Linked DNA regions of Danio rerio. The protein of the gene in region 2 purifies or fractionates together with the protein of the main gene of each other region. This does not show direct contact. Links are inferred from orthologs where the notes say so. Each region holds a gene or a part of one and is shown on either strand. Other genes may lie near its edges. The genes, in order: zzz3 and yeats2.

The links.
Region 1: the proteins of yeats2 (region 2) and zzz3 purify together in Homo sapiens (affinity purification with mass spectrometry; 3 studies listed by BioGRID, with this or other methods). This does not show direct contact. The link is inferred for Danio rerio from reciprocal best matches to the Homo sapiens genes YEATS2 and ZZZ3.

What each region holds. Positions count from the first base shown.
Region 1 is NC_133177.1:9,147,998-9,152,323, forward strand, and holds the start of zzz3 (ZZ-type zinc finger-containing protein 3), read left to right. Parts: upstream 1-1,341; coding exon 1,342-2,741; intron 2,742-4,326.
Region 2 is NC_133177.1:47,779,561-47,783,381, reverse strand, and holds part of yeats2 (YEATS domain-containing protein 2), read right to left. Parts: intron 2,791-3,821; coding exon 2,679-2,790; intron 2,187-2,678; coding exon 2,142-2,186; intron 1,056-2,141; coding exon 860-1,055; intron 211-859; coding exon 1-210. UniProt on the Homo sapiens protein: Chromatin reader component of the ATAC complex, a complex with histone acetyltransferase activity on histones H3 and H4. YEATS2 specifically recognizes and binds histone H3 crotonylated at 'Lys-27' (H3K27cr).

The DNA.
Region 1 (4,326 bases), about 39 Mb from region 2:
ATCATTGATTTGGGACTGCAACTAACAATTACTTGAATCAGATAAAAAAAAAGAATTAATTTCAAAGTTCCAACCCTTTATTAAAATCAGAACTACAATCTTTAGAAAGTGCTCAAACATGTTGCTCCTTAACGTGATGCGCACACCATGTGTACGTCACTCCCATGTGCACCTCCTTTGGAAATGACAAACTGACTCTAAGCTTATTGGCATTGCTTCCAAGGTGCGCGCTCGGCAGACACATTTTAATAAAACTATAGCGCTTCATACCGAAACTACATACCAAACTTTTTTTGTTACTGATATCGACAATGGTGTTCAGTTAATAAATACAGTTAAATCTTTCTCCTAACCATCTCAGGTCACGTATTTTTTATTTATATTTTTTTCATACAAGTTAAAGAAATCATAACTACTGCGCTTCTACCACCTCAGTTTCCCAGAACTTCTGGAGCTTGTTTAGTCATAAAAGCCTGTGATCTCGATTTTTATCGCCCAGCCCTATGCTTCACCCCTGAGCCTGACATCATTATTAGACAATTCAACACCCAAGTAGACCCATATTCCTATGCTTTGCTCAGTCCAGGGTGCAGAGCCCTTGAATGGGGACTTAAATGTTACCATGACAAAGCAAAGCAGCAACCACAGAAATGTTTTATTGTTTATTTTCCGAGCGATTAAATTGAAGTTTTATAATTATGTTTTCAAAATATGCTGTCAATTTCAATCTCTTCCAGTACTAAACACAATTCTTACCTATGAAGTACTAAGAGAAAGTGTTGGTGGTATTTCACAAATGTAATTGAGTATTTAAGGAATTTAATTGAGTGTACTAGAGGTTATAGGAGGAATGTGTTTTCTGCAGTCTGTTTATATATCAATAATAATACAATTGGTTACAGTGAAGTAAGCATTAGTCTTTAATCAAGAACATGATCTTTCAACTGTTAGTTCTGCAGCTTTATCGTACGTTTTTGTTTTTTAATTTTTAAAAGTTAAAACTTTTCTGTGTGTAAATGTAACTTCTTATGAACTTGTTTTACATGAATCCACTACATTTCAGAATATACTAACCTCTGTTTAAACTTGTGAACATTTCAGTGCTGTGCAGCAACTTTGATTTAACCTGAGCACATTTGCATGCATTCTCAAATATGTATGTTCTTCAGGAACAGCAACCGATTACATCTTTTCTGTCTATTTTTTGTTATACACTTAAACCTGTGTAATTTAGAATCTGAACGGTCTGTAATTAGTCTCTCATTGTGTCACTCAGGTGCCCACATACTGCTGCTGAGGAGAGAGCACCACGATGAGGAGACAGTAGGCACCCACCATAGTATGGCCGCGTCCCGCTCTTCGCGCGTCACAAGATCATCAGTGGGGATAAATGGATTGGATGAGAACTTTTGTGGCCGAACCCTCAGGAACCGCAGCATCGCCCAGCCGGAAGAGAGCTCTCCGCCTCCCGTGCCCAGAGCTCGCTCACCCAAAAAGAAGCAGGACTGTCAGCAGCACCAGCAGACCGGAGCACAGGTTGGAAAGGTAACTGAGAGCAAAGCGGAGGGCGAACCCGTGCCTGCATGTGGAAAACGTGGCTTGCCGAGCTCCGAGAAGGAAGATTCGGACAAATTTGATAACTGTGAGCGTCAAAGGTCTGGGTGTGGGCCTGAAGCCTCACCTGCCCTGAAGAGGGCCAAACGCTGTCCTCGCTCAGGTGAATCACAGGGGGCAGAGGAAGAGCCTTCTCTCAAACCCGAGAGCCCCGATCCTGCTGTATTGAAGGAAAATGACGATGGCGCCAAATCAAATAATACTTCAGCCTCAGACAAAGAGGCTGATCAGAAAAAGGATGGCCCAACAGAAGAGATCGCCCCTCAACCAGAGGTCAGCGAGAACGTCAAAGCAACCAATGGCCTCGCTGAACTCTATAGAGAGGACTCAGAAGTTGCGGCCTTACCTGTGGAGCCCTGTGCCTCCCCTGCCACACTCAACAGCAGTCCCTCACTGTTAAATGGCAGCCAGGCTGCGCCCTCATCCCCCGACCCTATTGTGCCTTGTAGATCCCCTCATCCCAAGCAAACCAATGAGCCCGACAGCCCTAAAATTGACTGTGAGAGGAACTGCACACCTGAGGAAGCCGCTGAGGCTGTGCTGTCTCAGGAACCCGAGATGGAGGTAGAGGTCGATGTTGTGGGAGAGGCTGGCCAGGCTCAGGATGAATTCGTGAGAGAGGAGAGCACCAATGGTGACTTTCAGGCTGAACCACAGGACCCTTCTGACAACTGCTCGAATATCTCAGGAGAAACGCTGTTGGCTGCTTCTCAGCTGCCCGCCGAGCCCCCCTCCTTCACAGAGCCTCAAGAACACCGCTACACCCTGAGGACTTCACCGCGCCGCGCTGCCTTTGGTAGCGGGCTCAAAGCCAGCTCCCCCAAACCCACTTCCCCACACATAGACAATGGTTCACTGAAGGAAGAGACCACAATGGTTCCTTTTTTCTCAGAGGACACCAGCCATAAAGACCCTTCCCATGATGCACTGGGACTTTCTTGCGAGGCAGACAGTGAACTTTTCGAGGAAGAGGTTGTCAGCGGAGAGGTCGGAGTGTCTGATAGTAGAGAGTCAAGATCCACCAAAGAGCTGCTGGCTGCTCAGGCTGAGGAAGATGAGGAGGAGGAAGAGGACCCAGATGTCTACTATTTTGAGTCGGATCACTTGGCTCTCAAACACAACAAAGAGTATGTTTAGGTTTACGTTCTTTCATTTGAATCTTTTTCATAATTGCGGTGATTCAAGATTATTGATTAGAAATTTGCTTTTGGCTACCCCAAACCCAGCATTTAAACCCAACAACCCAACTTTGAATACAACGGACATGAATCATGTAGCTTTATGAGAAGTCTTAAGTCGACTGTCAGCCAGAAATACTGTAGGTTAAGAAGTATGTTTTGGTTGACTTTTATGTCTGTCACCAGTTTGAACCTGTTAAAAAAAATCTACAAATTAAAAATCTTTGATCCATATTCAGATTTTCAGATCAGCTACATTTCTATTAAAATTATTGGACTTTGTTGGTGATCTGAAAATCTGACTGCAACTGTAGTTTGGACAGACCAGAGCAATGTTTAAAAACCTATAGTATCGTTCATCTGTTGCTTTAAGGAACCTCATAATGGCGCGTTTTCACTAAGCCGGACGGTACGGTACGGGTCTGTACGAGTCACCTTTATCAGGGTTGCGTTTCCATTGCCAAAAGGGTACCAATGGTACTCTTTTGGTGGGCATGGTATTCAACAGAAAGTTTCAGTCAACGTCCTTCTAGCTTGAGGAAATGTCAAAGTAAAGCTGTGCAATCAGTGCAAACCTCTCATCTGTATCTTTAATCTTCACCTGCGGTTAAAAAAGCTATTCATAAGTTTATAATAGTTCAAAAGGCGACAATAGTAGTTAAACATTGTCGTTTGTTCATGGTTTAGGTTGCTGAAAGAATCATTTGCTCATTTGTTTTTTTGTTTTTCTGGCTTCTTTTTTGTTTTTTCGCACTATACTCTCGCGTTGGTCTGTTTCTGAAAGGATTGGATGTCTGAAGCACTTTATTAATCATGCGCACGTTATTATAATCAGCTCAAAAAGTTTGTTATTTCAAATATAGAAGCATGACGAACGCACACAAGACAGCAAAACTGCTCGCCCTTTAAATAACTACTGGCCACAGGGTAGATTCTGCTCTTTTTGGCTTTGTGGCTGTTCATCAAGACAACGACAAGGTTGTTTGAGCTCAGGTCAACCATGGTTCGTTATTATATGTATATATTATTATGGTCTAGTGCAGGGGTCACCAATCTTTGTTCTGGAGGGCCAGTGTCCCTGCAGGGTTTAGCTCCAACTTGCCCTAATCCACCTGCCTGAGTGTTTTAAGTATACCTAGTATTGTACATATGTATTTGATTAGGGTTGGAGCTAAAATCTGCAGTACACAGACCCTTCAGGAACAAGTTTGGTGACCCCTGGTGTAATGTCTCAGCTGTGTATTTAAAAAAGGTGATTCCTTTGTTTTTATTCTCCTGCTTTTGCGTGTAACGTATCTCTGTAAACCAGTAGCGTTTAGTTGCACGTCTTGCTCCGCCCTTTGGTACCCTTTTGTTGTGCTAGGTACCCTTTGCAAAGGGTACCCAAAAGTGGTACGGTTTGCTTTTTAGGTACCTTTTGACAGTGGAAACGGCCTTAAAAGCGCACTGAACCGAACCGTACCACTAAGTAGAAACGGGCCATAAAACATCCTAGAAACTGCACAGCAAACCACCAAAGCCAATCAAAAAACTT
Region 2 (3,821 bases):
TGCAGCTCATCGTGATCGGCTGGAATGATGATTTCCCTGGTGACTCGGCAGCGCTGGGCACTTGCCCCTGTGGAATGATCTTACAGCTGGATGTAATTGGTTGAAATGCAGAGTTTCCGTGGGAACCAAGTGTAATTTTTTCAGACCTGTTTGACTGTGAAGTTTGTTCCAAACATGAAGGACGCACTGACTCACTTTTGACAGTGACACCTGGGGAAGAAATAAATGAATGAGAAAAAAACGATTCTTTAAGAAGTATAATTTGGAGACAGTTTAAGTTGTCACAAGCACAAAAAGCATTGGCACATAATTTATTTGTGCAGGCAAAGAATAATAAACAGACGATTAAATCACAGCTTCCACTTCTCATGCAATAAAGTGCAAATATCCTACTAATCCTCTCTTTATAAAAAGGATAGAGCAAGTGGGTAAATATATAAAAGCTGTGGCCACATTAATTTGAGCAAGTAGTACACGACAGTCATTCACCATGTTTATGTACATAATAGAATATGTCTGTTTGAATTTATTATCTTATACAGGATGTTTTTAAATCGAGAGATAAAAAGGAGAGGGATAAAACAAGATGATGAAGCACTGATAAAAACAGTGACTGCTCCATCATATTTCACATTTCTGTACAGAGAGGTCAAGTTTTGATCTTCTATTGGTCTCACGCAATGACAAAATGCAAACTTGGGAGGTCAGAGTTCACCAAGCTTGAACTTTGGACATGCAAAACTTGTCACACGAGCTTGCGTTTCTGATCTAGAACATTCGCATACATATAAATGGACATCTAAGAGGTGAAATTCTTTTGTGTAGACACTGTAAAATGGACAACCACGAGTCTGTCTACCTCTTTCTGAGCTGTGTTGATCATCATGAGCAGGATGAGAGGGAGAGGAGTTTCTCCTAGAGCCATGGATAGTTGAGGAGGAGGAGCCAGATCCGCCTACGAATGCTGGATAAGAAGATGATGATGAGGATGATGAAGGGGCAGAGGGGATGAAGTCATCACCCAGTGAGTTCCTGTAGAGCTGAACATCCACCACCTTCAGAGGAAAAAGACAAAGCAATTGAAAAATGGCATTTAAAAAAAATTACAAATCTGAAAAATAAAACACCAATGTCAAAAAAAGGAGTTTAGAACTATAAAACCTCTGCACTTTTACTGAAGAAACCTTCTTCACAAATATTTGAGCATACAGTATATTCTGAAAAGTTGGTTGAAATACAATGTAATATCAAGGTCAGAACCTAGAAACTAGGATTTATTCCATTTCTTATTTTCTTAAAAGTGAACAACATCAATAAATCTTCAGCTGACACATTCACTCATACTTTTCATTTACCTCACTGACACTTGCACTAACCAAAACTGCAGATTTGTGCTCGCCATCATTTTGAAGACTGACATTTTCATTACTATATTGACAGTCGAGACCTTGGCTTCTATTTTTAACAGAAGCTCATTTACACATGCTTATTGCACAAGTTAAACATTTCCTGTGTTAACCCAGAATTTAACCTAGAATTAAAAATGTACCATGAAATATCATTTTTATACTACACAAGACAAAATAATAAATGAAGTTACAGAAAATATCCAGTTATTAAAACATTAATATAGTGTTATTAATATTGTGTGTTGCCTACTTGAGCAGTAACGTCTGTTTGTAGCTTTTTGTGACAGTTGTGTTTCTTCAGGGTAGTACAGAATATAGGGGAAAAAAAAGCTTCCTTTAGCTTAGTCCCTTTATTTATTAGGGATCGCCACAGCGGAATGAACCGCCAACTTATTCAGCATATGTATTACACAGCGGATGCCCTGCCAGCTGCAACCCAGAACTGGAAAACACCCATACTCCCATTCACACACATACACTATGGCCAATTTAGTTTATTCAATTCACCTATACTGCATGTCTTGGGACTGTGGGGCAACAGTAAACTGACAACTGACAACCAGGACTCAAACCAGCAACTTTCTTGCTGCGAGGCGACAGTGCTAACCACTGAGCCATTGCGTCACCTCATAATTTTTCAACATATCTTGAATTTAAAAATAAAAAAACGTTCTATATAAACAAATTAGAATGGTCATATAAACTTATGAGTACAGCTTGTGTTTATCTTACCGTTTCAGCTCCCAAAGTCTGCAAACCTGTGTATGTTCGGTCAAGCTGATGGAGAAGAAATAAAAGAAGATTAACACTGACATCAAAAAACATTCAACAGTATTTGCAGTGGATGGCAGATGAAGTACTTCAACCCACAAACGTTTCTTTTTTCACACTTCATGCCCCTCTATTTAATCTTTTTTTTTTCTACCAAGAACAAAAGAGATTGCTGTGACAAGAGATAAAAGAAGAAAGGAAATCTAAACAGACAGACTGCTTTAAAAAAATCCACCTTTTTTACCTTTAGATTAGAAACACCATGTATAAAATAATGGATTCGTACAGACATATTCTATTCTGCACAATTCGCAGAAACAAAACATCCTCTCAGTGAATAATATCAAAGACATGGAGGTGGATGCAAGTCATCTACTGCTTGAATTCCTCACAGATGAAAGTACAAAGCAAAAGAAAGAGGGGGAAAAGGAAAGACGAAAAGGGCAACAAAAGGGGTTCAAAGACAGCGTGCGTGCAAGCGGTCAGCAAGTGTCTGACCTTTAAGTGGTGGATGATGTCGATACGTTTGTTCCGTTGGTCTTTAAAGTGGATCTGCACACGGACAGGAAACTCTCCCCACCCTCGACGGGTCAGGTGAAACGGTGGCTCACTAAACACACAGATTTGACAAATGCACCACAGTTAGAGATACAATCACCTCCTCTAGAGGGCACTGCCTGTTCTGTATTGATAAAAACTTAAAAATAGAATATTGCACCTTTGCTAAAACTGGAGTCATTTTTTTAAATGAAATACTTTAGTTGAATATTTAAGCAAAGCAAGAATTATTAAGACTCAAAGGTGACAATAAAAGCATTTTATTCCTGTTACAACATAAATACAGTTGTTGTAAATATTCTATTAACAATTTGTTGTAGTTTCTTCAATAAAATTAAGCTGCAAACGTTTTAAACATTTTTAATGATAAGAAACGTTTCTTGTATCAATATATTAAACATATTACAAAAGAATTTAAAAAATCCTACCAACTACAAACATGAGTGTACAATAAGACTCTTGAGTCTTGTTTATATCTGTTATCAAAAGGTTAGTTTACACCAAAAAATTAAATGTCTGTTACACATTACTAACCCTCATGTCATTCCAACCCCCCCAAGACCTTTGTTCATCTTCGGAATACAATTGAAAATATTTTGGATGAGATCTAAGAGCTCCATCATCCTCCATAGACAGTAATAGACTCAATTTGTTAAGAAAGTCTCCAATAACATCCTTAAAAATGTCCATGTGCCTGCAGTGGAATAAAGGATTAAGTCAAAAAGAAAATGAATAAAGTTATTATGAGGATAGAAGGTCTTGTGCTTTTGAAACAACATAAGAGTGAGTAATTAATAACATAACTTTCATTAAACTAACCCTTTAAGATGCATTTTTGTCAATCAGATCATCAGTGCACAACGCTAAACATGGGTGTAAACAGGGTTTTTATTTTTGAACAATGACAGCCTTCCTATACTGTTTACCATGCTACTCTGAATATTCGCTCTGAAATAGCATGCAAGTGTGGCTAAGTAATAAATGTAATTCCTGCACGGCGCTGGCTAAACACTAACTAACTGGCGAATGACATGAACTAGTGTGTTGTCTGTCTGCTGTTGTGACGCGGTGCGCACGCTCGCG